Lonchura striata: one gene and its partners. The protein of the gene in region 1 interacts with the protein of each later gene in a pairwise test. Links are inferred from orthologs where the notes say so. Each region holds a gene or a part of one and is shown on either strand. Other genes may lie near its edges. The genes, in order: TMEM79, TNMD, proteolipid protein 2 and RPRM.

Region 1 (8,095 bases):
AGGGACAAACAAGGTGAGACTGGCTATGCAGGGACCCAGGAGTGGGATGCAGGGCTGGGAGAGGAACAGTCTGAGAGAAACATTTTTTCCCTCTTGGAAACATAATTTTGAGGCTGGATGATTACATCCTGTAGGCAAAGCTCTGAGTCATTCTTTGGGGAATTTAACTCACCCTCTGCAAACCAGCCACAGAGCTGCTTGTTAAGGGCTTTATTGGGCAAAGTTGGCTCCAGCAGGAGAGGAAGCAAATCCCACCCCATTCCCAGGGAAGAGCGCTTGCATTGTCCTGCTCTGGCCCTTCTTCAGCTGCAGCAGGAGTCTCGTGGTGCAGAGGGTTTGTAGCCTGGCTCGGTGGGCCCAGCAAAACCTCCCTGTGTCCAGGCAGGGAGCGGGGGCCCAGCTGGATGTGCCAGCACCCCTGTGCTGTCAGGGCTCTTGAGGCAGTGCATGAAGGAGGGCTCAGACTCGTAGGGTGCAGGCGCCCCATCTCCTGGCCTCCCTCAGCCCCAGTGCCGGAGTTTAGCTCGGCTCTCCTTGGAGTGGCCCTCGGGCGTTGGCGTTGCCAAGGACAGGAGGTTCTCGGGCTCCAGGATGAACATGCCATACAGGTTCCAGAGCAGCATGGCCAGGAGCGGCAGGAAGGTCATGCTGAAGCCAAAGGCACGGAAGGAGCGGCCGATGGCGTAGGACATCCAGAAAATCAGCCTGGAGAAGGCAGAGGGTGCGGGCTCAGCCAGGGTGATGCTGTGGGGCTGGCACTCACTGGTTCTGACCAGTGGGGATTTCCCAGGCATGGCTGCCGTAGGAAGAGGAACCCTTCCTGGCTTTGGGGAGCTGCGTAAGGTGCTGCCACAGTGGGAGTTTGCTCCAAGGCACGGTGCTGGCTGGCACTGACAGAGCCAGCAGCCTGGGGTGAAGGAGCCACTTACCGGGAGATGGCGAAGAGCCCTGTGAGCAGTGGGATGAGCTTGAGGAGCTCCTGTGGGAGGTAGGTGGCCAGCACAGCCATGTTGAAGAAGTAGAGGATGAAGAGATGGACAGACTGGGAGACGTAAGTGCGGTGGATCTCCACCTCCTGGTGGAGCTCTCCAAAGGGCTCCAGGGCGGAGGAGCAGAGGCGGGAGATGCCACTGACGATTATTCCTGAGGGACAGAGAGAGAGGCTCAGTGGATGCCCAGTGGAGCCACGGTGGGGTTTGGGTAGAAGCAGGAGGGGAGAAAATCTCCATTTGCTGCTCCTGGTGGGAGCAACAGAGCCACAAAGAGCTCAGCCCCACTCTGCTCCTGCAGCCCCAGGCTCACGTAGCCCAGAGCAGGAGTAAAGCACTCATACCCAAGCCCATGGCTCACCCAGCACGATGGGGAAGGTGGCAAAGGTGGCACAGCGCAATGTGTAGACCAGGCGGGCGCTGACGGTGGGCAGCAGTGGGGCATCGAAGGGCAAGAAGATGTAGGCACCATAGATGAGGCAAGGGCAGAGGAGAAGGGCTCCTGCCACTGATGCCACAGCCTTGAGATTATCAGTGCCACAGTCCCTGGCACACGGGCACCGTGACCCCTCAGCCGGGGGCTTGGCCATGTGCCCCTCAAAGCCCAGTGGGTTCCGGCAGCGCGAGGGGCCAACGGGGAGGAAGACCTGCTTGTGGTGGAGGCTGCTGGGTCTGTCACTGGGGGGGACGCTGGGGGGAACATCCCCCCTGCTCTCCTCCCGGGGCCATGGGGTTGGGTGCTGCTTCTGCTTGATGGGACTCTGCTCGATGCACTGCGGGTCGATGGGCACAAAGACGTGGGCCGCCATCACGGGCAGCCGGGGCACTTCCTCATCTTCAGCCTCGACTGTGGGGCAGGTGGGAGCAGCTTCCTCTGGGTCTTCATGGCCACCCTCAGGACTCGAGCGCCTCTTTGTCTCCACGAGCTCCGGCTGGCCCCAGGCATTGTGCTGACTCTGGTCCCATGGCAGGGTGGAATCAGGGTCCCCCTGGTGCTCACCTGGGGCTGGTGGCACCTTGGCCAGGGCCACCTTCCCCAGCTCCAGCAGAGCCACCTCCTCAGGGGGCTGGACAGGGTCTGCAGCAGCCATGAGAGTGTCCAGCTCCACACTGCCAGGGATGGGGGTTGGTAACACTGCTGCCTGCACTTGTGGTGTTCAGAGGGGATAAAGTTCCTGTCCTTTCTGCTTTCACCCTGGACCAGGAGAAAGGAGACAGATAAATTTACATCAGAAATGAGAGGTTTGGGGTCACATGCACAGCACCAGTTACAAAGTGGGAGCAAACTGGCAGCCCTGGAGCCCCCACTACCCGGCTGTCCTTGCACTAGGAGGGGAAAGCAGTGCCTGGTGTCCCTGTGCTCTGGCCCCTGGCAGCAGGGTCAGGTACTGTCCTGGGAGGGGTGAACTCTGGAGGTGTAGGTCTGGCTGCAAAACAGGGCTGCCTAGGAATAACTTCAACATCCTGGGGGTTCTAGCTGGGCACAACCCAGCAGATACAACTGGCTCCTTGGTGGCTCTCTCCCGGGCCAGGACCAGCCAAGCCCTGGGGAGAGGTGACCTAGCTGCTTCCCAGAACCATGGCTACAGCGGGCACGGGCCAGGTTTGCTGCCTCTTGTAGCTGAGACTGATGTGGGGTGGACAAAAGTGGCTGCTGGGTGCCCTTCCATGGGTGCAGGAGGTACGGGCAGAGCTCCATGTTGTTACCCTTAGGGAAACCTTGTCTCTTGGCCCGTCCTCAGTGTCCTGCCTGCCTCCTGCAATGAACGTTTCTCCTTCGCTCCTCTCAGCACATTGATCCCTGCACCCTCAGGAACTTGGCCTGGCCACAGGTGTGGGGAAACTGAGGCACGGAGCCGCTTGGGGCTTCCTCCGCGACCCACACACGGAACTAGGGCTGAAACAGCTTCCCAGGTTTCCCGTGCCTCCAGCGCCCGGTCCCGGAGCCCAGCCCCTCTGGCAGCCCCCAGCCCCGCTTCCCCCGGGCAGCGCCTCCCCTCGCGGCAGCACTCACTCGGGCTCGGGCGGGGGGCCATGGGGGCAGCTCTGCGGGACCCTGCGGGATTCCAGCGCTCTCCCGGCGCCTCCGCGCCGCGAACCTGCCGAACCGGCTCAGGTGGGGCGGGCGGAGGGGCGGGCGCTCCGCCCGTCCCAGCCCGGCGTGGCCCCGGGGGCTCGGCGGAGGGGACGGGGCGAGCCCGGCGCTGTCCCCCGTGGCAGGCGGGGGACCCCCGGCTCCCTGTGGGCCGCTCGGGGCGTGCCAAGTTAAAGAGCTCTCTAAACACACAGAGAGTTTAAAAAGGGGACGGACAAGTCAGCCCTTGCTCATTCTGCGAGGGTGCGAGGTGGAGCTTTCCACAAATCAAGCGCACCAAGGGTAACACGAAGTTACACCTTCTATACAGTAAAATTTACATTAACCCGTCTAATACACATCACCGCCCACCTAAAGAACATTTATGTATCGTAACCTAACACAATGCTTGAAATACAAAGTCGTTTTATTTTGAGCAACTTTTCTTACAGAAGTTACGTGACGGCACAGTTACGTTTACAGAAGGTGAGAAGGTTCAGCATGAAGACACCACTGCGGGAGCCGCGGCCCCACAGGACCCGCCGGGATGCCTGGCCAGTCCCTCGGGATCCCAGAGCGCGGGGAGGAATTCCTGCGCCGTCGCCCCCGCTCCCGACCCCACAGCCAGGCGGGGTGCTCTGGTGCAGCGCTCGACCCGGGCACCGGGCGGCACCGGGCCCGCCCCGGCACCGGGCCCGCCCCGGCACCGCGCCCGCCCCGGCACCGGGCCCGCCCGCCTGAGGCGGCCGCCGCCATGTTGCCAGCACTAAGTGCGGGCCTCTCGCGCGAGCTGGCTCTCGCGAGACCAGGTCGCCCCCGCCGCCGCCCTGCCCGCCCGGCGCGGCGCGGCCGCGGGAAATCTCGCGAGAGCAGTGAGGGCCAGGGGGCAGCCATGGCGGCCGAGCGGGCCCGGGGGCGGCGGCGGCGGCGGCGCGGGCGGTGCTGAGGGGCCGCGGGGCCGGGCCGGGCCTGCCGCGGGCGCCATGAGCCAGGGTGGCGGGGCCGCCGGCGAGAGCGGCGAGCCGGAGGCCAAGGTGCTGCACACCAAGCGGCTGTACCGGTGAGCAGAGGGGCCGGAGGGGATGCGGTGGCCGAGAAGGGGAGCGGGCTGGCGGACACCGGGGGCAGCCGGTGTCGGGAAGGGGCCGGGGCGGCTCCCGGTGAGGCTGGGGAGGGCCGGCGTGGAGACGGTCGGGGGGTTACTCAGGGGGACGGGGGGTAACTGGGGGTGCCCGAGGAGAGCAGAGGGAGAATGGGGCTGGGCAGCGTCCGGCGGGGACTGGGGGTGACGGCAGCGAAGGGGATTGGGGCGGGGGAGCTTGGGCGAGCCTGGCGAGGAGCAGGGTGAAGGAGGTGGCGGGATATAGGGAAGATGGAAGGAAAGGAGATGAGGGAGTTGTCAGGGAAGGATTCGGGGGGAAGGAGATGGTGGAATCGAGGTAACAGCAGGGATTGATGGAGCGGGGTGGGGAGGGGGCTCCTGAATCCAGGGGAATCCGGGGGAGACTGGGAGAACGAGGGCGAAGGGAATTGGAGGGCTATTCAGAGAAGATGGGGAAAGGAGATTATGGAATTTAGGGAAGACTGAAGTGAAGTTGTGGGGAAATCCAGGGAAAGGATGCAGTGCAAAGGGAGAGGAGAGGGAGGAGGTTTAGGGAAGACCAGGGAAAGGCAATGTGTGGAAGGGAGTTGTATGAGATCCAGAGGGGATAAGCAACACATGGAGGGGTTCCACTGGGGAAAAGGAGTCTGGTGGCTTCAGGGCAGATTAGTCAGACCAAGGGACTGGGGGAAGGAGCTGTGGGAGATCCAGGTAAGATGGGAGAATGGAGAGATAGGGGAAGGAGATAGGTGGGAGACCAGGAAGGGGGTAAGGGGACACCCAGGATAATGAGTAAGGACATGGGGAGGTGGAAAAAGGGATTCAGTGGGATTCAGAGAGAATGGTGGGGGCTGAGTGGAAAGGAGTTGTTGGGATACAGTGGGATAAGGGTGAGATGTGGGGTCATCCAGAGAGAGAGGGGTTGGAGAGGGTGTCCCTGGCTTTGGTACTATGCAGGGATTATGTGAGAAGTGCTGGAGTGGGTGTGATGAGCAGGAGTGTGAGCTGGGACACTTTGCTATTGTGTGGAGGGCAAGACAGCTCCAGCTGCAGATCTTTCCAGTTAAGCACTCCCTGGGACTCTGGTCCCACATTTCTACACCATGCATTGGAAATGGCATCAGAGAACAGGACTGGGGCACTCCTGCTGGCCTTGGTGAGCTCAGGCCCCCTCTGCTCCTGATCTGTTTTGTGAGGGCAGCCCAGAAATTGTTCCTTTCTGGCTCAGATCCACAGGAGTTCCAGCAGCAGCTCTGGGTCTCAAAGATGAGCAAAATGATGGAGACAAGAGATGAATTTTACATGAGGGTCCATTTCTTTTTGTCTTGATGACATTGGCTGTGTCCTTGCACCTTGTGGGACCTCACTGCCTACCTCTACAGCAGGGCAGGGTTTTACCTTGTGATGGAGGTATAGGCTGCACAGTCCTGCCCAGAGCACCCCGGGCTGTGGGGCTCTGTGTCTGCTGCACCTTCAGTGATCTCCACCACATCTGCTGGAGGCTGAGCTAGAGCAGCAGAGCACTGTCCCTGCCCAAGGAGTGTGGGACAGGGCTGGAGAGGATGTGCAGGATGTGTGTGCTTCTGCCTTTGTTGAAACCCTCCTCGTTGTTGTTCAAGACCTGTTTTGCTTTGTTTTCCTGGTGCTGCTCAGCTCATCTGTCAAGTGGAACCTCACGTTCTGCTGCAGCCAGCAAGAGAACGGCCTGTGGCCAGATGAGGAATTGTCATCCCTGCAAGGGAGGGGTTGTTTTCTGTTTGAATTTTTGTAGCAGAATAAGGCGTGTAGTTGCTCTAGAGAGTTCTTACAGCAGAAAAAGAAGCACCCTCCTCCTGCAGGGACAGCTCTTCTTTAGCAGGGAGGAAGCATTGTGATTTTAGTGCAGGATTTATAGTACCTGCAGTGGCCACAAATTTCTATCCTTGTAGCTGACAGTTCTCTGAGCAGGTTCCCACCTTCACAGTCTCCTGTCAGTTCTCATCTGTTCCAGCCTGAAGTGGGAGTTTCCTGCCTGTTGTGTGGTGGCTGTGGTCTGAGAGCTCATGACTGTCCCACTAAGTGGCACCTTTGAGTCACAGATGCGTGAATGCCATAGTCCCAGCTCTAAACTGTGATCCCATGGGATCAGCGTGTTGTCAGCTTGTGGGAGCTGAGCTCAGGTCTCCAAGGTCCTTGGCAGCATGTTGGCTGTCAAGAGTGTCCTTTCAGAGAGGAAGGTGCCCATTGCTTCTCATAGGGTACTCTTTGATCTTTTCCAAGTCTTCCTAGATTGAGAGTTCCCAGGTTTCACCTTGAAATGTGGCAACTGCATTATAATGGGTGCACTTTTACAATGCTTGTTGTAGCGTAAGGTGACCAGGTTTATTTTACAGCTTTCTGGGTAACCATTAGCTCATGGACTCAGTGTTGCTGTTGTTTTGTGGAACCTGTTCCAGAAAGTGTACTGACACATGCCAGAGCACAGCTAAAAGACTTGCAGGTCTTTTCTCTTAATAATGTCTTACTCCTCAGATACTGTGGCTCTTAGTGATGTCCTAAATAAACAGAGGGGACAAATAATTCTCCCTGCTGTCCTGCTCCGTCCCAGAGTGTTAATTGCACGGAGGAAAAGGGGCTGATCAGTGTCTATATGGCTCGAGAAGACTTGGCATTAGCCTGTTTCCACCCTGCTTGGCACCATGTGCTGTATTTGTTTCTTTTAATAGACTGGCATCTGATGTGCCTCCTTTGTGGCTCTAATATACTGTCTGAAAGCAATGTTTAAACACAGCAGGTAGAAAAGTGGGTCCTGGGACAGGATTTCCGTTCTTAACTGCTAGGGAAAGTTCAACCTGTGGTCTTGGACAATTGAGGGCACAGATGCTAAAGTGCATTTCCAGCAGAGCATGGCCCATAGCAGCTGTGTTGGTGTTTCCCAGCATTTCTGGAGTGAGGCTGGCTCCTGTCCCTTTTGTCCTCACTGAGTCCTCTTTCCCCAGCACCACAGATGTGGGATCCTGGCAGGGAATCACCAGCTGTCACATTCTGCTTTACTCCTGCCTTCTTCTCTTCCAGCAGCACCACAGGGCCTGTGTGGATGTGCAGAAGGCAGTGTTTCAGCTGAGGCCTCCCTTAGGGCTGATGAAGTGTGACGCTTCATGACACACATCCTAGTGTCAGCCTTGCTGCTCTCTGGTCACAAACTCTGTTTCTTTACAAACACTGAAAGAACAGCAGAAATACCAAGTGTGTGCATGTGCCCATCCATGGGTTGTTGTATAAAATTAGGTTGTATGGCAGATACCCTCTGGGCCACCTTGATGGGAAGGTGATGTCCTTCTGTCCCCAGAAGGAAACTTTTTTGTACTTCTCATTTGGCAGGCCACTGGGATCATTTTCCACATTGGCTGTTATGGACACGTGTGCTTGTTTCAGATGCACACAGCTGAGATTTGTTGCCCACAGAATGTTATTTTACAGCTGCTTTACTGCTTATGTCAGGAATCAACTATTGTAGTTCTCTCTGGGAATCAAATGAACCAGCAGTTCCTCTTTCCCCTGGTCACCCTTTGTAGAGGAAGCCAGTCAGCTCCTGGTGTGCTGGAAGGGACTTTGAGAGCCACAGCTAGGACAGCAGTCTGAGGCTGTAGTAAGGAGAGGTGCATTGCCTGTGCTTTGTAGGGTTCTGTTGTGGGGAAGCTAAACTGGGGGCTTTTTGGGTTGTCCTAACCCAAATATGAGCTTGCATGGATGCTGCACACTCAGTGCCTGTTACCTGTAAACCAAAATGTATTTTACTTGCTTCTTTCCTGCTATGAGGGTATGAAGCTGTCAGAGTTTGCAAACACCTTTCAGGCCATATGAGAAAGAGGACAGTGAGCAGGAGGGGCTGGTTGTCAAGAATGTAACAAGATTTTTTGTGTGATTCTTACTATCTCCTTGGCTTTCTTC
Region 2 (8,009 bases), on another chromosome or scaffold:
CTGGTGCTCCTGCACATCTTCTGATGGAAGCCTTTCCTGGGAGAGCCACCCAAAGGAGAGGAGCAGCCATTCCCCGAGCCTGCCAGCAGTCTGGTAACACCGGTGGGTGCACTGCAGAGGGACACAGGCGGCACAGCTGAGGGTGGAGGGAAAAGCCCCTTGGAGCAGGGCTGCAGCACTTCAGCACTTCAGGACGTGCTCGGGGCTGAGGCACAAAAACAGCACAGCAAGAGGCATTTTCCCTACAGAGAGCTCTCCCAGCAGCAGGCAAGTTCGAGGGCTGCACTGGAGGTGGGCACAGTGGGGTCCCTCGGGTGCTGCAGCTCTGTGTTGCTCCTTGGCCCCAGCCAGGAGCAGCTGCCACCCCTGCCAGCAGTGAGAGCTGCCTGGCACCATGTGCCACAGTAAATGATATGATTTACTCACTACCTGTGGAATTGCCCAATTAATTCACTATCCACATTAATATTATGGCTCATTTTTAACTTTACTGTCTCCATCGTTCCAATTTAGTGCTGCTCAGAGATGCTGCCACTGACCTTAATGAGTTTTTCATTATAACAAAGAGCACGATATTAATCACGAGGGGCTTTCAGCTGGAGGTTGCTGCCCAAACCCCACTGCTTTGAGGAGCTGCTTTTTAGTGGTTTGGGGACCTATTTTATTTCTGCCAGGCTGCTCAGCCCCGCTCACACCGTGTGCAATCCTTTGCGCTGTCCAGGAGGAATTTCTCGCTATAACATTTCCAGGCACAGAGATTTTATGCAGCAGTCAAGCTACGCTGCAGATATGATAGATTTTTCTGGGCAAATTGGAACACAGAGTAGAAAACTGAAAGGATGCACCAGTCATAGCCAATGAGCCTCTTATTGTCCTGTATAAAAATCAAATGCCTTTTAATCATTTCAAATGTTCTTCTGGGTATCAATTAGTCACACATTAATATCAGTATTGCTTCTCTTCCTCAGTTCACATCAGATTAAATTCTCCCCTGTCATATACACTCGCTCTCATTAGCTTCATGGAAAATTAGTAATTGTTCCCTCTCCATTGGCATTGATGGGAGATTTTCATCAGAACTGCTTTTATACAGAGAACCTGCTTATCATCTTAAGGATACTAAGAGATTTTCCCCCAAAATTATTGTCTTTTCATAAAAATACTTTTTTTTTTTTTTTCTCTGAAACCCTGAAGTCTGAGCCAGAGCACTGGGGAATGGGTGAAAAAAACCCCACCATTTTTTATGAGTGTCATCCTGCAGTTTCTGCCCCTGTCTGCATCCCAACCATGTGTCTCCTGTCAGGATCCAGTGTCTGTAACACGGCCACAGGGGCTGAGGGGGGACCCCAGGGGTTGCAGAGGGGTTTGCTGCTCTCAAAGCCCCGATCCAGGCTGGCTGTTCACTCTGGGGGAGCAGCAGTGTGGAGGGCTGGGATCCTGCCCCTGCCCTCCGTGGGGCAGCCCGCTCTGTGCTGAGCGTGCCCGTGGGTGTGTGAGCAGTGCCCGTGGGTGTGTGAGCAGTGCCCGTGGGTGTGCCAGCAGTGCCCATGGGTGCACGAGCACTGCCCGTGGGTGTGTGAGCAGTGCCCGTGGGTGTAGGAGCAGTGCCCGTGGGTGTGTGAGCAGTGCCCGTGGGTGTGCCAGCAGTGCCCGTGGGTGTGTGAGCAGTGCCCGTGGGTGTGCCAGTGGTGCCCGTGGGTGTGTGAGCAGTGCCCGTGGGTGTAGGAGCAGTGCCCGTGGGTGTGTGAGCAGTGCCCGTGGGTGTGCCAGTGGTGCCCGTGGGTGTGTGAGCAGTGCCCGTGGATGTAGGAGCAGTGCCCGTGGGTGTGGGAGCAGTGCCCGTGGGTGTGTGAGCACTGCCCATGGGTGCACGAGCAGTGCCCGTGGGTGTGTGAGCAGTGCCCGTGGGTGTGCCAGCAGTGCCCGTGGGTGTGCCAGCAGTGCCCGTGGGTGTGCCAGCACTGCCCGTGGGTGTGCCAGTGGTGCCCGTGGGTGCACGAGCAGTGCCCGTGGGTGTGTGAGCACTGCCCATGGGTGCACGAGCACTGCCCGTGGGTGTGGGAGCACTGCCCATGGGTGTGCCAGCAGTGCCCGTGGGTGTGGGAGCGGTGCCCGTGGGTGCACGAGCACTGCCCGTGGGTGCATGAGCAGTGCCCATGGGTGCACAAGCACTGCCCGTGGTTGCATGAGCAGTGCCCATGGGTGTGTGAGCACTGCCCGTGGGTGTGCCAGCAGTGTCCGTGGGTGTGTGAGCAGTGCCCGTGGGTGCACGAGCAGTGCCCGTGGGTGTGGGAGCGGTGCCCATGGGTGTGTGAGCACTGCCCGTGGGTGCACGAGCAGTGCCCGTGGGTGCATGAGCAGTGCCCATGGGTGTGTGAGCACTGCCCGTGGGTGCACGAGCAGTGCCCGTGGGTGCATGAGCAGTGCCCATGGGTGTGTGAGCACTGCCCATGGGTGCACGAGCAGTGCCCATGGGTGTGTGAGCAGTGCCCGTGGGTGTGTGAGCACTGCCCATGGGTGTGTGAGCAGTGCCCGTGGGTGCACGAGCAGTGCCCGTGGGTGTGGGAGCGGTGCCCGTGCCCACCCCGCTGCTCCTCCAGGCAGCAGTGCCCATCTGCAGCACCAGCAGGGCTCCAGCCCAGCCCTGGGTCCCCCACCACCCACCCTGGCCTCTCCATCCCAGCTCTGCCGGCGCTGGAAGGGGCCTGTGATATTTATTGAGTTTTATGAACTCCAGCCCTGGGAGCTTCTCACCTCTTGCAGCTATTTCAGACACCCGACTCCTGATGGAGTTACAGTGATTGCCATTAAAAAGCTTGACATTTACCTTACAACAGTAATAAAATAATAATGCCTAATTTGGTTTATGAGTGGTATTTGCAGTGTTTCCTGTGCCTTGAGTGGGGGATATGGTGAAGATCTGCTGATCAATTATGTCTGCTTAGCAGCACTGCTGTAATTCTTTCCTGTAATCAGAACCATCTTTCAGTAGAGCTGCTCCAAAGTTTTCCTCTGAAACTCTAATTTTGACAAGAAAAGAGAATGTTTTCAAATACTTGAGTTTCCAGTGAATAACAAAAGCTTCTGAGATGGAACTTTCTGGTGGGAAGTGGAGACAGACAAACGTGGTGTCTGCACAGATTTGCTGCATTTAGATTTACAAAACCCCTCAGGATGTTTTCAAAGGCTGCCTATGATTGCTTTCCCTTAAAAAGAGCTTTTTTTCTCCTCCAAATGACCTTGTCAGTAGGATTCTGTTATTGCCATCCCAAATTTGAACCCCCCACCACTGTGTTTTACTGCCCTGGACTGCTGAGGGGCTGTGGGGTGAGGATTCCCTGCTGCTCTGGGGCCAGGAGCCCAAACCCTTTGCAGGGAGCAGATGCACACCAGGGCACACCCCCAGCACACATGTGTGCACAGTGCTCTCCCCAGGCTATTCAGAATCTCCACTTCTGACCCCTGGTTGCAGGCAGCAACATCCCAATGCTCACAAAGCCAGTGCCAGACCTGCTAAAAGCAATTTCTTTCTCCATTTCTCATCCTGAGCAAAATTCGATGTGGATTTTCTTTTTTCAGTGCAATTTTAATTAGTGCATGATGCACTTTGGGTTTTTATTAGAGTAAACAGCTTGGAAAAAAAGTCCATGCCAGCTCTTCTACACCAGGGAGTCTCATCCTGTTCAGACCAGAAACCTCACGCTGGATTTCTGAAAGCCTTTCTTAAGATGGGTTCATTTCCATGAAGAAACGCTACGACTTCAACAAATGGAAATTTTTGAACATAGAAAAAAAAAGGAAAAAAAAAATTAGTCAGGAAATTCCTGGCTAGGCTGACTTTGGGGTAAGGCTGTGCATGAGAGGGAGAGCTGAGGGCTCCCCACACACACACGGGCTGCACAGGAGGGCACGCATGGCCACATACAGCCTGCTCACCTGTGTGCACACATGGAATACACCTGTGTGCACACACCACATATCTGTGTTCACACATCACACTCACCTGTGTGCACACATCACACACACCTGTGTGCACACACCACATATCTGTGTGCACACATCACACTCACCTGTGTGCACACATTGCACTCACCTGTGTGCACACATCACACTCACCTGTGTGCACACATCCAATACACCTGTGTGTACACATCAAATACACCTATGTGCACACATTGCATTCATCTATGTGCACATATCACAACACCTGTGTGCACACATTGCACTCACCTGTGTGCACACATCACACTCACCTGTGTGCACACATTGTGCTCACCTGTGTGTACACACATGTGGCCTGCCATGCCCATGTCCCCTGCCATGTCTGTGCCCCTGCCACATCTGTGTCTCCTGCCATGCCCATATTCCCCTGCCATGCCCATATTCCCCTTGCCATGCCCATGTCCCTGCAATGCCCATGTCCCTGCCATGCCCATGTCCCTGCCATGCCCATGTCCCCTGCCATGCAGGGACCCCAGTGGCAGCTCCGGGGCTGTTCCCACACACACATGAACACCGCAGCAGTGTCCCTGTCCCCGGGCTCATGGGGCACCGGCAGTGTGGGCACCTCCAGCCATTGGCACGTGGGCCCCAGCGCAGGGCAGAAGCAGAGAGCGAAGGAGAGCGGCCCTGGCCGCGTGTGACAGCCACCACACTGGGCTCCGCGTCCAGCGGCGTGGGAACGGCGGGGCCGTGGGGCCAGCAGCTGTGGCACAGCTGGCTGTCCCTCCGTGGGGGTGGCCGTGGCCCAGCCTTCCCACCGCGTGTGCAGCCAGAGCGTCTGTAACTCCACCTCGGAGCGGGCTGGCTCCTCGCACACGGAGGAGACCATGGGAGGCTCGGCTCGGCGCAGCCCGGAGGACTGCCGCTTTCTGGACGTGAGTGCACGGCTTGCCTTGCCCCCTGCATGCCTGCGGTGCCAGAAACGGCTGAGACGTGGTGCCCTCGTCCTGCCGGGAGCCCCGGGCACAGCCTGGCTAGCGCTGCTTTGTCATCAATAGGCAGAGGCAGCCAAGCCTCCGAAGAAGAGCTGCCCCAGGTACCAGCTCTGTGGACTGCTCTTCAGCGTGCTGCTCCTTTCCCTTATTCTGATATTTTTTGGTGTCAAATACCTCTGGAACCCAGCACCCAGAAAAGTAAGTAAAACCCCTTTGATCCGGTATTTCAGAGCGTTGCTTCCCCAGACAGAGCTGTCCCCCTCCCCTTGACTCGCTGAAACTTTTAACAACTCTCCAAAACCCAGGCAACTTCACAAAATGCATTTTCTCAGACCACAGGTATTCATGGGACTTTTAAAAATCTTTGTATTATTCATAACTAGCTTTTACTTTATGCAGGCTGGTTTTTTTCCCCTGTCACTGCTTTCTTTCCCCAGTTGACAATTACAGGGGATGGGAGCTACGCCACGAAGAGTTAAAGTTTCTCTTACTTCACCGGCAGCAAATTTTATGACAAGTAAGAAAATATTTTCCATTTCATTTCAATTATCTTGCCAGAAACCGGTGGAAAAGTCATTATGCCACCGCATAAAGAGGAGAGAAAGCCAGGACGCAGTGGTGATTGATTGTCATGGATTATATTTCTTACTTTAATGTGTCTGCAATGTGAGGGACGGTGAGACGGATTAGCTTCTGGAGGAGCTGCTGCTAACTGGATTGGGCTCCTTTATTGCCAGCTGCAGACGGACGCTGCTGTGGTGCCGGGGCGGCAGCAGGGCTGTGCATCCCCAGCCGTCCCTGCCCGCTGCCACCCGCCATCCTGGCAGTGCTGCCAAAGCCCTTCTTTATCCCACGCCCCAAGCAAATCCTTTAACCTTGAAACCCACAGCCTGCCTGCTGCCCCTCATCCTCCTTTCCTTCGAATTTCCATGCTCATCCAGGAGGCCCCGCTCTGCACCCCATCTCCAGTGGGTTTTGCTGGCTCTTGAGAACATCTCCAAAATTCCTGTGCACAGCCAAGGCAGCCTCTTTCCCACACTGGCATCTCCAATGTGCTCCCTGCACTGTCCTGGAGCTGCTCCAGCCTGGCCAGGCCGCCCTCCTGCCGGGCAGAGGAAGCATCCTGCTCGCTGGAAACTTTATCTTCTTATCAGCAAATAGAAATAAATACCCCCTGAAATAAAAGGAAAAACAATAAAAGCCATATGCTCCTCCAGAATCCTGCCAAGACGATTATAAAGTCTCTACTGTTCCTAGAAAAACAGGGGTGATGCCAGCCATGAGGGGAAGAGGCTGTTAACCCCTGGAGGGGCGGTTTGCTCCAAGCAGAGACAATGCCACAGCCTCAGGAAGGACATCCAGAGCCCCGGCCCACGGTGTGCTCACCGGTGGAGGACGGGGTCCATGCAGCACTCCCCAACACCTGATGGGCAGGCAAGTGGGGTGTGAGGCCACGAGAAAGGAGAGCTGTTCCTGCAGCAGAGCTGCACACAGACACTCCCCGAGCCCAGCACTGCCCTGTCCCTGTCCCTGTGGGGCTTCTCCAGCTGGCCCGGGAGTCCTCAGGACAAACAGGCTGGGGGGGCTGGAAGTTGGTAACACTCAAAAATATCAGCCAAGAGGAATTAAACTCTTTAAAGAAGATGAAACCCTTCAAGCTTCCTTCATGTAACTGGAGAGTGGAAAAAAACTTGAAAGAAGGTTGTTCCTCCGAGGGGTGGCCTTGGACACGGCTCTGCCCTCTGCACAGCAGCCTCCTCACCAGCCAGCACAGCTGATGATTCAGCTAACGAGGGGTTCATCACAGCCTTGCAGAGGGCCATAATTCAACCATTCACCAGCAAGTGTCATTTTTAGCCCTATAAAACATCTCATAGCGCTGTGAGCAGCGCAGAGCTGGCAAAGCCCAAGTGGGTTAGCTGGCCGCTGTGCTGGCCAGAGTAATTCTTTGTACTTGAAGGTAAGGTGCCACCCGGGATCCTGCCCTCCTTGAGATGATTTATGGCACTGGGTGCATTTTGTCAGTCAAAACCAGCCGCCTTTCACCCATTTTAGGCTTCAGACTGTTTTACCGTATCATAAAATCCATGGAGAGCTGTATATCTCTACAAAGTCTTCCTGCAGACCGACAGGAGGTGTCCGTGCCTGCCCAGGCGCACATCACTCCTCTAACCTTTGAGAAGGGGTGTGAATGTTCCCATCACTCCCATCTGCACAGGCAGTTCTGCAGCCAAAGGAGATACCAATGCTGGAACACTGCTAAGAGGCTTTGAACCCCAAGGGGAGGGATGTGCAGGAACCCGGGCACTGTGAAAGGGGTTTGGGCTGGCACTAAGGGCAGAGCTCCTGCCCCACACCAGTGGGCCAGCACGCTCCTGCTCTGGTTCCACGGCCATGCCGTGGGATGAGCAGGGCTCTCCCATCCCCGTGCCTCCATCCCTGCCTGGTGAACTGGAGGGGATTTGCACGAGCCCTTCTCTTCCACGCAGTTCCGTTCGGGAAGCGAGGCTCCCCAGGGCCCGCCAGCAGGATCGTTTTTGTGCTTCAAATAGCATCTGCCGCTGCTCATCCATCCCGCAAGGGTCAGGCATGCAGAGAGCGAGGCTGCCCTGCCAGCGGGAGCGCCGGCTGCTCCCCGGGGACCCGCGCCGCCGGGAAGCGCTGCCAAAGCCGGAGCTCTGCAGCAGCCTCCAGGAGGTCTTTGATCCGCAGGCAATCCTTGATCTCCTCCAGGCAGAGAGAGGCTCATCCTCTGCCTTTCAGGAAAAACAGAAGGCACAGAGCTGGAGCGAGTAAGCTGGGCAGGACACGGGGGAGCAGGTGAGCCGGGACACCGTGATGGAGCAAAGGAGCCAGGGATGCAGTGTGGAACAGCAGGCCAGGGAGAAGGCAGAATGAAGTGCCTGTGGGCTCGGGGCTTCAGTCCAGCCTGGATGTCACCAGGCTCATGCCACAGAAAGCACCAGCGAAGGCTGAGCTGGGCAAAGCTCCTGCTGCAGGTGTAGGAGGTGCATCTCCTCCCAGGTTTGACACACATCCCAGACTTGATGCTCAGTCCCTCATCCTGGCTGC
Region 3 (7,927 bases), on another chromosome or scaffold:
GGGCTATCTGGGGTCCCGGGGGGTCCCGGGGCTATCTGGGGTCCCGGGGGGGTCCCGGGGCTATCTGGGGTCCCGGGGGGGGGTCCCGGGGCTATCTGGGGTCCCGGGGGGTCCCGGGGCTATTTGGGGGTCCCGGGGGGGTCCCGGGGGTCTCACCGGCTGCGGCCCCGTGCCCACGTCCCTGTCCCGCTGCCCCGGCAGGGGGATGGCCATGATGGGGCCGGGCTGGCCCGGGGGGGGCTCCTGGCTCTGCCGCGCCTCTGGGGGGGCAGGGGGGGTCAGGGGGGCTCAGGGGGACCCCAAACACCCCCGGGACCCCGCTGGGGGTCAGGGGGCTCAGGGGGACCCCAAACACCCCCGGGACCCCCAAACTCACCCTGCAGCAGCTCCTGCACCGCCTGAGCCTCCACCGAGGGGGGGGCGGCGCTGGGGGCGGGGCTTCTGTGGGGGGCGGGGCTTCTGTGGGGGGCGGGGCTTGGTCCACGGGCGGGGGCAGAACTGGGGGCGGGGCCTGCGCTGGGGGCGGGGCTTATTCCATGGATGGGGTCAGCGCTGTGGGCGGGGCTTCTGATGGGGGCGGGGCTTGATCCATGGGCGGGGTCAGAACTATGGGCGGGGCCTGTACAAGGGGCGGGGTCAGATCTGGGGGCGGGGTCTGTCCCGTGGGCGGTGCCGGTTCCGTGGGCGGGGTCAGTCCCGTGGGCGGTTCCGGTGCCGGTTCCGGGGGCGGTGCCGGTTCCGTGGGTGGGATCAGTCCCGTGGGCGGTTCCGGTGCCGGTTCCGGGGGCGGGGTCGGTCCCGGTGCCGGTTGTCCCGGTGGTCCCGGGGTTCCAGCGGCGGCGGGCCGGGATCAGCGGGATCACCAGCTCCTGCTTGGGGGGCGGGGCCGGCCGCGTGCTGGGGGCGGGGACACGGCCTTAGCCACGCCCACTCAGAGGCAACCCCGGGCGGAAACCACGCCCCCTCGTCTTAGCCCCGCCCAACCCGCCGCACGCGGTGACCGCGTGCCCATTCATAACTCACCAAGCCCCGCCCCCGCCGGCTCCAGCCCCGCCCACCTGAGCAGCTCGCGGCCCTCCACGGCCGTCAGGAAGTCGGTGTCGCTCTCGGTGTCACCGCCCGCGCCGGGCTCCGCGCACGGTCCCGCGGGCAGCGGCCGCCGCCGCTCCGCCCTGCGGCTGAAGGAGAAGGACACCGGCCCCTGTCCCGGCCCCGGCCCCGGCCCCGGTCCTGGCGCCTCGGCCGCGCCATCGCCCGCCGCCATCTTCCGCCGCGGGGCCCTGTGGGAGAGAGCGCGACGATCCAGCCGGACTACAACTCCCAGCAGCCTCCGCGCCGCCCCGCGGGCTTTGCGGCCGCTGATTGGCGGAGCGCCCGCCTATCCGGTGTCGGCGGCGCGGCCCGTCCCGCCCCCTCCCGCGCGCTGCGGCCGCTGATTGGCGGAGCCGCCCGTCGCTCAGCCCCCGCCGCCGCGGCTCGCGCCCGCCGGCCTCGCGCGCGTTGCCGGAGAGACCCCGCGGGGGTACCGGGGGGCGGGGAACGGGAACGGCGGCAAACTGGGGGAACTGGGAGCACTGGGAGACAAACTGGGGGAACTGGGAGCCAAACTGGGAGCACTGGGAGCACTGGGAGCCAAACTGGGGGAACTGGGAGCCAAACTGGGAGCACTGGGAGAGAACTGGGAGCACTGGGAGCCAAACTGGGAGCACTGGGAGGGAACTGGGAACATTGGAGTGAATTGGGAGCACTGGGGCGTGTTACTGGTGGTTACTGGGAGCACTGGGGAGTGTTACTGGTGGTTAATGGGAGCACTGGGGAGTGTTACTGGTGGTTACTGGTCCATACTGGTGTGCAACTGGTCTGTACTGGTGTGTAGTGGTTTGTACTGGGGGGGCTGTGAGGCTCTGCTGCTGCTGCGCCGTCCCCAGGGTGAGACCCCCCCACCTCGGACCCCCCAAAATCCCCTCGGGGCCCCCAGAGACCCCCCCAAAACACGGCTGCACAATCACCCCCCTGCCAGCACAGTGGTACAGCCCACGGCCCCCCAAAAGACACTGCTATACTCCTGTGCCCCCCAAAATCGAGTGGTACAGTCCAAAGCCCCCAAAAACACAGTGGTGTATTCCAGTGCCCCCCCAAACCAAGTGGTACAGCCCAGAGCCCCCCAAACCACAGGGGTGTACACCAATGCTCCCCAAAATCGAGTGGTACACTCCACTGCCCCCCAAAACACAGCTGCACAAATCACCCCCCTGTCAGCACAGTGGTACAGCCCACGGCCCCCCAAAACACACCAGTGCCCCCCCCAAACAAATGGTACAGCCCACGGCCCCCCAAAACACATCAGTGCCCCCCCAAAACAAATGGTACAGCCCACGGCCTTTCAAAACACACCGATGCCCCCCCAAACCGAGTGGTACAGCCGAGACCCCCCCAAAACACGGCTGCACAATCACCCCCCTGCCAGCACAGTGGTACAGCCCACGGACCCCCAAACACACCGGTGCCCCCCCAAATCCAGTGGTACAGCCCAGAGCCCCCCAAACTCGGTAAGACGCCCCATTGCCTCCCCCCCCCCCCCACGGCAGAGTGGTACAGCCCAGAGCCCCCAAGCCCCAGCCTGGCTGGGGAGGGGGACGGGGGAGGGGCGGAAGGAGGATGGGGGAGGGGGACGGGGCGGAAGGGGGATGGGGGAGGGGTCCCCGCCCCGCCCCCCTCCCTTCCCCCCCCGGGGGTCGCACGGAGGTGTCCCCCCCCCCCGTCCCGGTTTTTGGGGTGCTCAGTAAAGGCGGGGAGCCCCCCCCGGTTCCTGCGCGGGGCGCTGCCCACATCCGCTGAGTCAGCCCAAAACCGAGAGCGGCTCCGGGGGCAGCGGCCTCGGGGACCCCAAACCCCTCAGAGACCCCCCAAATCCCCGGACCCCCCCCAAAATCCGGGACCCCCCCCAAAATCCGGGACCCCCCCAAATCCCCGGACCCCACCCAAAATCCGGGACCCCCACCCAAATCCCGGGACCCTCGATCCAAAATCCGGGACCCCGCCAAATCCCGGCGACCACCCCGTTCAAACCCCGAGACCCCCCCAAATCCCGAGACCCCACCCAAAATCCGGGGACCCCCCCCCAAAATTCGGGACCCCCCAAGCCCCGCCCCTCGGGGTCCCCTTCCCGCCACCCTCAGGGGCCGCCCCCGCGGCAGGCCACGCCCACCGCCAATCGCGAGGGATTCCCCGCTCCAAGCCCCGCCCCCCGGGACCCCCGACCCAATCATCGCAGGGGAGTCCCCGCTCCAAGCCCCGCCCCCCCGGACCCCCGACCCAATCATCGCTGGGGATTCCCCGCTCCAAGCCCCGCCCCCCGGGACCCCCGACCCAATCATCGCAGGGGAGTCCCCGCTCCAAGCCCCGCCCCCCGGGACCCCCGACCCAATCATCGCAGGGGATTCCCCGCTCCAAGCCCCGCCCCCCGGGACCCCCGACCCAATCATCGCAGGGGATTCCCCGCTCCAAGCCCCGCCCCCCGGGACCCCCGACCCAATCATCGCAGGGGATTCCCCGCTCCAAGCCCCGCCCCCCGGGACCCCCGACCCAATCATCGCAGGGGATTCCCCGCTCCAAGCCCCGCCCCCGGGACCCCCGACCCAATCATCGCAGGGGATTCCCCGCTCCAAGCCCCGCCCCCCGGGACCCCCGACCCAATCATCGCAGGGGAGTCCCCGCTCCAAGCCCCGCCCCCCCGGACCCCCGACCCAATCATCGCTGGGGATTCCCCGCTCCAAGCCCCGCCCCCCGGGACCCCCGACCCAATCATCGCAGGGGAGTCCCCGCTCCAAGCCCCGCCCCCCGGGACCCCCGACCCAATCATCGCAGGGGATTCCCCGCTCCAAGCCCCGCCCCCCGGGACCCCCGACCCAATCATCGCAGGGGATTCCCCGCTCCAAGCCCCGCCCCCCGGGACCCCCGACCCAATCATCGCTGGGGATTCCCCGCTCCAAGCCCCGCCCCCCGGGACCCCCGACCCAATCATCGCAGGGGATTTCCCGCTCCAAGCCCCGCCCCCCCGGACCCCCGACCCAATCATCGCTGGGGATTCCCCGCTCCAAGCCCCGCCCCCCGGGACCCCCGACCCAATCATCGCAGGGGATTCCCCGCTCCAAGCCCCGCCCCCCGGACCCCCGACCCAATCATCGCAGGGGATTCCCCGCTCCAAGTCCCGCCCCCCGGGACCCCCGACCCAATCATCGCTGGGGATTTCCCGCTCCAAGCCCCGCCCCCCGGACCCCCGACCCAATCATCGCAGGGGAGTCCCCGCTCCAAGCCCCGCCCCCCGGACCCCCGACCCAATCATCGCAGGGGATTTCCCGCTCCAAGCCCCGCCCCCCGGACCCCCGACCCAATCATCGCAGGGGAGTCCCCGCTCCAAGCCCCGCCCCCCGGGACCCCCGACCCAATCATCGCTGGGGATTCCCCGCTCCAAGCCCCGCCCCCCGGGACCCCCGACCCAATCATCGCAGGGGATTTCCCGCTCCAAGCCCCGCCCCCCGGGACCCCCGACCCAATCATCGCAGGGGATTCCCTGCTCCAAGCCCCGCCCCCCGGGACCCCTCGCCGGGGTTTCCCCCCTCCCCTAACCGCCCGGTCACGTGACGGCGCGCGCCGCCCGCGGCCCCGCCCCCCCGCGCTCCCCTCGCCCATCCCTAATTGGGGTTTCCCCCGCCGCCAGGCCCCGCCCACCCGCGCCCCGCCAGCCAATGGCGTGCCGGCGCGCGCCGCCAGGCCCCGCCCCCGCGCCGTGCCAGCTCCTCGGGGCGCCCCCCCCGCTCCCCCCTCAGCTCCGCCACCGCCGCCGCCCGTTCGGTGCCGCCCGGTCCCGCCATGGAGTCCAGCGGGCCCCAGAGCTGCCCCGGCAACTGCCTCGCCTTCAGCCGCACCCACAAGGGGCTGGTGCTCATCGGCGAGATCGTGAGCCGCGGGGGGCGCCGGGGGACGGGGGCTCCGGGGCACCGCGGGGGCGGGATACCCTCGGCGGGGCCACACCGGGACACGCGCGGGCCCCGCGTGGGGCGGGGCACAGCGCGGTGGCCCGGTCCCGGTGTGCGGGGGGCAGGATGACTCGGTGCCCCGCTCCTTTGGGCTGGGGGGGACACGCCTGGCCGCTCGTTCGGGGCCGGGAGGATGCGCGAGTCCCGGCTCGGGACCGGGACAGGATGTCCGGGATCACCGGTTTTGGGGGGGGGATGCAGCAGGATACCTGGCTCCCCATTTTTGGGGGGCGCCCCCACACGTGCGGTCCCCTATTTGTGGGGAGGGCGGGATCCCAGTTTTGGGCGTCAGGAGAACGCCTGGCTCCGTGCTTTGGAAGGGATCGGGGACACCGCCGCACCGGCTCCCCGTTCCGGGGGGTCCCCATCCCGGGAGGGTCCCCATTCCGGGAGGGTCCCCATCCTCGGGGTATCCCCATCCTCGGGGTGTCCCCATCCTCGGGGTGTCCCCATCCCGGTGGGGATGCCCGGCTGTCGGAGCGCTCGGGCCGACCCGTGGAGCGAGGGACCCGGGTCTCGGGCGGGGGGGACACCCCCGCAGAGCGTCCCCGGTGCCGTGGGGCGCGGCGGGGACCCGCTCCCCCCGCGCCTCCCGCTCCCGTTTCGGGCGCGTGGAGGGGCAACGCCCTTGGGAAACGGGGGTGGGGCGGGGCAGGTGAGAAAGGGCGGGGCCGGAGGGCCCCGGGTTGAAAGCGGGGAGGGAGCCCGGACGTGCCCGGTGCCCGCCCGGGGGGAAGGGGCGGTTGGGGCGGAGCCCGGCCCGCCGTTCCAGCCGTTATTGCGCCAGCCCGGGCGGCGCCCGCCGGGAGCGGCCCCTTTAAGAGCCCCTGGCGGGCCCCACCCACGCCGTCGCCCCTTGAAGGGCGGGGGGGGGGCGCTGTTGTGCCGTTGCCATGGCGGCCGTTACCGGGAGACGGCCCCGCCCCGCCGCCCCCGCGGGCGGGGCCGAACCGGGGAACCGCGGCCGCCCGCAGGGGGCGCTCGGACACCCATGGGTGACCCCGCATGGGGGCGCTATGGGGGCTATAGGTGACACCACAGGGGGGCGCTATGGGGGCTATAGGTGACCCCGCATGGGAGCGCTATGGGGGCTATAGGTGACACCACAGGGGGGCGCTATGGGGGCTATAGGTGACCCCACATAGGGGCGCTATGGGGGCTATAGGTGACACCACAGGGGGGCGCTATGGGGGCTATAGGTGACACCACAGGGGGGCGCTATGGGGGCTATAGGTGACCCCGCATGGGGGCGCTATGGGGTCTATAGGTGACCCCTCAGTGCCCAATGGGGGACCATAAGGGCAGGGCACATTTTGGGGTCTCTATGGGGTCCATAGGGGCTCAGGGAGCCCAGGTGGAGCACACAGGGCCCATAGGGCACAATGCACAGATCCCATAGGGCTGGGGCACACTGTGGGGGCTCAGAGATAACCCGGGGAGCACACAGGGCCCATAGGGCACAATGCACAGATCCCATAGGGCTGGGGCACACTGTGGGGGCTCAGAGATAACCCGGGGAGCACACAGGGCCCATAGGGCACAATGCACAGATCCCATAGGGCTGGGGCACACACTGTGGGGTCTCTGTGGGGGTCAGAGATAACACAGGGCCCATCGGGCACGCCGCACGCATCCCCCACGTGCCGTGCCCGTCCCGCGGGGTCCCTCTGGGGTCTCGGCGGGTCCGTGGGGCTCGGGGCTGCCCCTATGGATGCCATAGGCGCCGTGCCCGCAGGTGCTGTGCGCGCTGACCCTGGCGTGCTTCGGGGCGTCGCGCTCGGGCTACGCGGGGCTGGCGGCGCTGGAGCTGCTCTTCGCCGCGCTGGTGCTGCTGGCCTGGAGCTGCCGCCTGCCGCCCCGGCTCTCCCTCATCTACTGGGGCTGGAGCGTGAGCGCTGGGGAGCGGCTGGGGAGGGGCTGGGGGGGCTGGGGAGGGGCTGGGGGGGACTGGGGAGGGGCTGGGAGGGGTTTGGGGGGGCTGGGGAGGGGCTGGGGGGGACTGGGGAGGGGCTGGGAGGGGTTTGGGGGGCTGGGGAGGGGCTGGGGAGGGGTTTGGGGGGCTGGGGAGGGGCTGGGGGGGGTTTGGGGGGACTGGGGAGGGGGATTACTGGGGGTTTGGGGGGCTGGGGAGGGGCTGGGGAGGGGTTTGGGGGGGCTGGGGAGGGGGATTACTGGGGGTTTGGGGGCCAATTGGGGGGGATTACAGGGGGTTTGAGAATTGGGGGGCTGGGGAGGGGTTTGGGGGGGATTACAAGGGTTTTGAGGAGCATTGGGGGTCTGGGGAAGGATTTGGGGGGATTATGGGGGGGATTACAGGGGGTTTGAGGAGAACTGGGGGGGCACTGGGGGGATTGCAGGGGGTTGGAGCAGCACTGGGGGGCCGTGGATGGGTTTGGGGGGATTACGGGGGGTTTGAGGAGAATTGGGGGCACTACCGGGGGTTTGAGGAACATTGGGGGCTGTGGATGGGTTTGGGGGGGATTACGGGGAGTTTGAGGATAATTTGGGGGCTATGGATGGTTTTGGGGGGCATTTGGGGGGGTTTGAGGAGCTCTGGGGTGCTGTGGAGGGGTTTGGGGGGATTACGGTGGGTTTGAGGAGCATTGGGGGGCTGTGGAGGGGTTTGGGGGGATTACGGGGGGTTTGAGGAGCATTGGGGGGCTGTGGAGGGGTTTGGGGGGCTCTGGGAGGGTTGGGGGGCCCTGCAGTGCCTGAGCTGCAGAGCATCCCTGGGAACTGGGGGTCCCCAGAGAGTCTGGGGGTTCCTGGGGGGGTCCCTAGAAAGTTTGGGGGGTCTCTCTGAGGGGTCCCATCTGTGCCCCCCCAGGACTTCATGCGCTGCCTCATCGGGGCTCTGCTCTTCCTCATCACCTCCCTCATCGTCATCA
Region 4 (5,566 bases), on another chromosome or scaffold:
CGGTGCCTGGATCCCAGTGTCCCGATATCCCATGTCCCGGTGCCTGGATCTCAATATCCTGGTGCCTGGATCCCGATATCCCAATATACCAGTGCCTGGATCCCGATATCTCATATACCAGTGCCTGGATCCCGATATCCCATATCCCGGTGCCTGGATCCCGATATCCCATATCCCAGTGCCTGGATCCTGGTATCCCATGTCCTGGTGCCTGGATCCCCATATCCCGATATCCCGGTGCCTGGATCCCGATATCCCATATCCCGGTGCCTGGATCCCCATATCCCGATATCCCGGTGCCTGGATCCCGGTATCCCATGTCCTGGTGCCTGGATCCCCATATCCCGATATCCCGGTGCCTGGATCCCGATATCCCATATCCCGGTGCCTGGATCCCGATATCCCATATCCCGGTGCCTGGATCCCAGTGTCCCGGTGCCTGGATCCCGATATCCCGATGTCTGGATGCCGGTATCCCGGTGCCTGGATCCCGATATCCCAGTGCCTGGATCCTGGTATCCCGGTGCCTGGATCCCGGTGTCCCAATATCCCGGTGTCCCGAGCGTCACTAGGTGTCACTCCTCTCCCGGCAATCCCGGCCCCGCTCCGCATTCCGGGATATGAGGCTGGAACAGGGCCGGGATGGGGGAACGGCAACGGGGAATGGGACCGGGATGTGTGGGACAGGAACCGGGAATGGGACCGGGATGGGGGGACAGGGAATGGGAATGGGACCGGGATGGGGGGACAGGGAATGGGAATGGGACCGGGATGGGGGGACCGGGAGGAGGGAACAGGAGCCTTCCTGCCTCCAATTGTTCCTCTCATAATTTAGGGATGGGACTTTTCCTGTCCTAATTTCGGGATGGGATCGTGCCTGCCATAACTTCAGGATGGGATTGTTCCTATCCATAATTTTGGGATGGGATTGTTCCTGCCCATAACCTGGGGATGGGATTGTTCTTGTCCATAATTTCAGGATGGAATTGTTCCTGCCATAACTTGGGGATGGGATTGTTCCTGTCCTAATTGAGGGATGGGATTGTTCCTATCCATAATTTCAGGATGGGATTGTCTTTGTCCATAATTTCGGGATGGGATTGTCCTTGTCCATAATTTCGGGATGGGACTGTTCCTGCCATAACCCGGGGATGGGATTGTTCCTATCCATAATTTCGGGATGGGATTGTCTTTGTCCATAATTTCGGGATGGGATTGTCCTTGTCCATAATTTCGGGATGGGACTGTTCCTGCCATAACCCGGGGATGGGATTGTTCCTATCCATAATTTCGGGATGGGATTGTCCTTGTCCATAATTTCGGGATGGGATTGTCCTTGTCCATAATTTCGGGATGGGACTGTTCCTGCCATAACCCGGGGATGGGATTGTTCCTATCCATAATTTCGGGATGGGATTGTCCTTGTCCATAATTTCGGGATGGGACTGTTCCTGCCATAACCCGGGGATGGGAAGCAATTCCCTGCGGAGTTGCCAAGGGCTGGAGGTGACGAGCCCAAGGACAGAGCTCGAGGCACGCGCCTGCTGGGCATGGAGAGAGCCACGCTCCCATCGGGAACGCTGCTCTTCCAGAAGCTCTTCCAGCTCTCCCTCCCTTGCAGGAGCTGCCAGGCCTCCCTTGGCTCCTCAGAGTCAATCCCATCTTCCCTTCCCGCAGGAAAACAGAACGTTCCCGCGGCCGCGGGAGCGGGGCCAGCACGGCAGGGACAGGACAGGGCCACGGGTGACATCCGCCACCCAGCTCATGGCAGAACCGTGAATGGCTTCTTGGAAAAGCCCCAAAACTGCCCCAGCGCTGAGTGCCCAGGGCCACCCCAAGTGCCACCCCAAGTGCCACCCCAAGTGTCACCACAAATGCCACCCCGTGTCACCCCAAGTGCCACCCCAAGTGTCTCCACAAATGCCACCCCAAGTGCCACCACAAGTGTCACCACAAATGCCACCCCAAGTGCCACCCCAAGTGCCACCCCAAGTGCCACCCCAAGTGCCACCCCAAGTGCCACCGCAGCAGGACGCAGCAGCTGGAAGGGCTTTGGCACACATCCTCCCTCCAGGCCTTGGCCTCTCCAGCGGGTTATTCCCGTGAGGAACATCCCAGGAAATCCCCAGGTGGCCCAGGACCACCTCACCCCCGTGGGAGGGATTGTCCCAGCCCCACTGATCCCACACGGATCCCACAGGGATCCCTGGGGCAGTTTGGGATGATCCCACAGGGATCCCTGGGGCAGTTTGGGATGATCCCACACTGATCCCTGTGGTAGTTTGGTATGATCCCAGGCAGATCCCTGCGGTAGTTTGGGATGATCCCACAGGGATCCCTGGGGCAGTTTGGGATGATCCCAGGAAGATCCCTGGGGCAGTTTGGGATGATCCCACACTGATCCCTGCGGTAGTTTGGGGTGATCCCATCCCACTCGGGAAGGACAGCGCAGGGTTAAGCTCCCAGCTCACGCTCTGCTCAGGAAATCTCCAAGTCATGGCCGGGCCGGAGCTGATCCCTGATCCCTGGCCGTGCCCATCTCCGGGAATCCGAAATCCCGGGATACTCCCCCAGCGCCCGGCCCTGCCCTCGGGAGCTGCCGCCACCCCCCAGCTCTTCCCAAAACCCCAAAACCAGCCGTGGGAAACTGGTCTGGAGCGGCCCCGGGCTGGGCGGAGGGGGACGAGAATTCCCAGCAATTCCAGGCGCCTGGGAGGGGTTTGGATCCCGGGGGTGCCCGGGCGGCTCGGCAGGGATGGGCAGTGGGCTCCGGGGGTCCCCGGGGTCCCACCCGGCTGTCGCCGCTCCCTCGGCACCGCCCCCGACCACGGGGAGGCTCCGAAACACGCGGAGCTGGATCTTCCATGGAAACAGAGCTGGGGGAATTTGGGGAACGGGGGCTCCACCACCCGAGCCCACCCACAGGGCCCCAAAGGGCTGCTCTGGCTCTTCCCGCAGTTCCCAGGACTGGCCCTGCATCCCTCAGCACGGAAACCTCCTCCAAAATGTGTTTTCCCAAAAAAAACCCCTCCCCGCTTCCCTGGGAGTGCACAGGCAGAAACCCAGGTGGGAAATCCCACTCCCACAAAATCTGATCTCTGCGAATTCCCCTAAAAACGCTCCGAAACGCCATTCCCCCAGAGCCACTTCCCAAAGCCCCCTCCCTCAGGAAATCCATCCCTGAGATCCGCTTGCCAAAACCCAGCACAAATCCCACGGGCAGAATTCCCGCTGGCCCGTTGCCCCCCATCCTCCTCCTCATCCCGCTCCAAACTTCTCCCATCAAAACCCATCCCCTAAACGCCCCTCACATCCCCCCGGCCCCATTCCAGCTCTGCCAGCCCCAATCCCATTCTCCTGATCCCCGAATCCTCCCTCCCAGCCCCTCCGCGCCCCACGGCCCCCCCCTGCTCCCCAAAGCCGCTCCCCTTCCCGACCCCTCCTCTGTCCCCCCAAACCCTTCCCTGACCCTTTCCCCTCCCTCCCACCTCTCTCCCTTCCCTTTCCGCTCCACCCCAAACCCTCCTCCTCCCTTCTTCCCCTTCCCCCAACCCCTCTCCCCTCCCTCCCCATCCAAACCCTCCCTCCCTCCATCCTAACCCCTCTCCCTTCCCTCACATTCCTCCCTCCTCATCTAAACCCTCCCTCCATTGCTCCCCTCCCTCCTCCCCCTCCCCTCCCCTCCCTCCCCTCCCTGCCCACCCAAACCCTCCCTCCCTCCATCCCAATCCCCTTCCCTCCCTCCCCTCCCACCCAAACCCTCCCTCCCTCCATCCAATCCCTCTCCATCCCTCCCTGCCCACCCAAACCCTCCCTCCCTCCATCCCAATCCCTCTCCATCCCTCCCTGCCCACCCAAACCCTCCCTCCCTCCATCCCAATCTCCTTCCCTCCCCTCCCTGCCCACCCAAACCCTCCCTCCTCCCATCCCTTCCCTTTCCCTCCCCTCCCTGCCCACCCAAACCCTCCCTCCCTCCCCTCCCCTCCCTTCCCTCCCTCCCCTCCCACCCAAACCCTCCCTCCCTCCATCCCTTCCCTCCCCTCCCCTCCCACCCAAACCCTCCCTCCCCTCCCCTCCCGGTCCCTCCCCGGCTGCCCGCGGGGCGGAGCGGAGCGGGCGGTGCCGGGCGGGCAGCGCGGAGCGGCCAGGCTGGGCTCGGCACGGCTCGGCACGGCTCCGCCCGGCCCGCCTGGGCTCGGCACGGCTCGGCACGGCTCCGCCCGGCCCGGCTCGGGCCGCCTGCATGCGGCGGCGGCGGCGGCGGGGCTGCCGGCAGGGATGAACGGCTCCGCGGCGGGGCTGCCGCCGGGGCTTCCAGCGGGGACGAGCGGCTCGCCGGGAGCCCCGGTGGCCCCGAGCGGCTCGCCGGGAGCCCCGGTGGCCCCGAACGGCTCCGCGGCGGCGGCGGGGCTGCTGGCGGGGGCCGGGGCCGCGGCGCTGGAGCTGGAGCGGGCGCTGCGCTGCTGCACCGCCGCCTCCGTGGTGAGCGACGGCAGCGGCGCGGGCGCGGACGAGCGCAGCGTGTACATCATGCGCGTGGTGCAGATCGCCGTCATGTGCGTGCTGGCCCTCACCGTGGTGTTCGGCATCTTCTTCCTCGGCTGCAACCTCCTCATCAAGTCCGAGGGCATGATCAACTTTCTGGTCAAGGAGCGCCGCCCGTCCAAGGAGGTGGAGGCGGTGGTGGTGGGGCCGTACTGACCGCCGGAGTGACCGGACTGACCGCCGGACTGACCGGAGTGACCGGAGTGACCGGACTGACCGCCGGACTGACCGGAGTGACCGGACTGACCGGACTGACCGCCCGCAGCCCTCCCGAGAACGCGCGGGCTCGGCTCGGAGCTTTTCCTCCTGAAAAACGCCAGGCATTCGGATGGATCCCGGGATGCCGGAGGTCGGGATTTGTTCAGGGTGGCCGCAGCCGCCCGGCCCGGCCCATCCCGGCCCGGTTCCGCCGCCCGCGGCTGCCGAAGTAAAGCGTGCTCTGATGGCAACAGGTCTGGGCTCCTTATTCCGTCCGCCTCCACCCTTTCCCCTTCCCTTTCCCCTTCCTTTTCCCTTCCCCTTTCCCCTTTCCCTTCCCTTTCCCTGCCGCCGCGAGTCCCGGGATGCGGCGGAGAGCAGCGGGCAGCGCCCGGGATGAAGCTTCCCCTGTCCCTCCCAGCCCGTCCCCGCGGGATTTCCCGTCCAGCCGGCCTAAATTTCCCCTTTTCCAGCGCTTTTCCAGCCTTTTCCCAGCGCTTTTCCGCCCCCCGCATCCCTGCGCGCCGGGAGATGCGGGAACTGCGCTCCTGCCCCTGGACCGCGGCTGTGGCCGGGGAAAACGCCCAGCCCAGCCCAGCCCAGCCCGGGGGATCCCCTGCCCGGGAATACAGCGGGATTTTGGCTCTGGGAAAGCACAAAATCCAGGATTTATTATCCCAGCTCCGAGCCGGACCAACAGGTGACTTGGCGCGGGCGCGGTGCAGGGAGGGAGAAGCCGCTGCTCCCACGGGATTTGGATGTCTCCCTCCATCCCCATTCCTCCGCAGGGATCTTCCCGGGGTGTTTTTCCCATTCCCAGCGG

The links.
Region 2: the proteins of TMEM79 (region 1) and TNMD interact in binary tests that used the Homo sapiens proteins (3 or more experiments, as listed by UniProt). The two-hybrid records come from large-scale screens. The link is inferred for Lonchura striata from reciprocal best matches to the Homo sapiens genes TMEM79 and TNMD.
Region 3: the proteins of TMEM79 (region 1) and proteolipid protein 2 interact in binary tests that used the Homo sapiens proteins (3 or more experiments, as listed by UniProt). The two-hybrid records come from large-scale screens. The link is inferred for Lonchura striata from reciprocal best matches to the Homo sapiens genes TMEM79 and PLP2.
Region 4: the proteins of TMEM79 (region 1) and RPRM interact in binary tests that used the Homo sapiens proteins (3 or more experiments, as listed by UniProt). The two-hybrid records come from large-scale screens. The link is inferred for Lonchura striata from reciprocal best matches to the Homo sapiens genes TMEM79 and RPRM.

Annotation. Positions count from the first base shown.
Region 1 is NC_134635.1:1,095,460-1,103,554, forward strand, and holds TMEM79 (transmembrane protein 79), read right to left. Parts: upstream 3,099-8,095; 5' UTR 3,004-3,098; intron 2,185-3,003; 5' UTR 2,081-2,184; coding exon 1,351-2,080; intron 1,144-1,350; coding exon 930-1,143; intron 706-929; coding exon 501-705; 3' UTR 196-500; downstream 1-195. Other genes in the region: nonsense-mediated mRNA decay factor SMG5, read left to right, coding at 4,047-4,123.
Region 2 is NC_134616.1:929,684-937,692, reverse strand, and holds the start of TNMD (tenomodulin), read left to right. Parts: upstream 1-4,829; coding exon 4,830-4,877; intron 4,878-5,000; coding exon 5,001-5,135; intron 5,136-8,009. UniProt on the Homo sapiens protein: May be an angiogenesis inhibitor.
Region 3 is NC_134638.1:2,178,658-2,186,584, forward strand, and holds the start of proteolipid protein 2, read left to right. Parts: upstream 1-4,843; 5' UTR 4,844-4,872; coding exon 4,873-4,959; intron 4,960-6,774; coding exon 6,775-6,927; intron 6,928-7,866; coding exon 7,867-7,927. Other genes in the region: GPKOW (G-patch domain and KOW motifs-containing protein), read right to left, coding at 157-260, 377-897, 1,059-1,264. UniProt on the Homo sapiens protein: May play a role in cell differentiation in the intestinal epithelium.
Region 4 is NC_134610.1:1,354,100-1,359,665, forward strand, and holds RPRM (protein reprimo), read left to right. Parts: upstream 1-4,223; 5' UTR 4,224-4,278; coding exon 4,279-4,701; 3' UTR 4,702-4,994; downstream 4,995-5,566. UniProt on the Homo sapiens protein: May be involved in the regulation of p53-dependent G2 arrest of the cell cycle. Seems to induce cell cycle arrest by inhibiting CDK1 activity and nuclear translocation of the CDC2 cyclin B1 complex.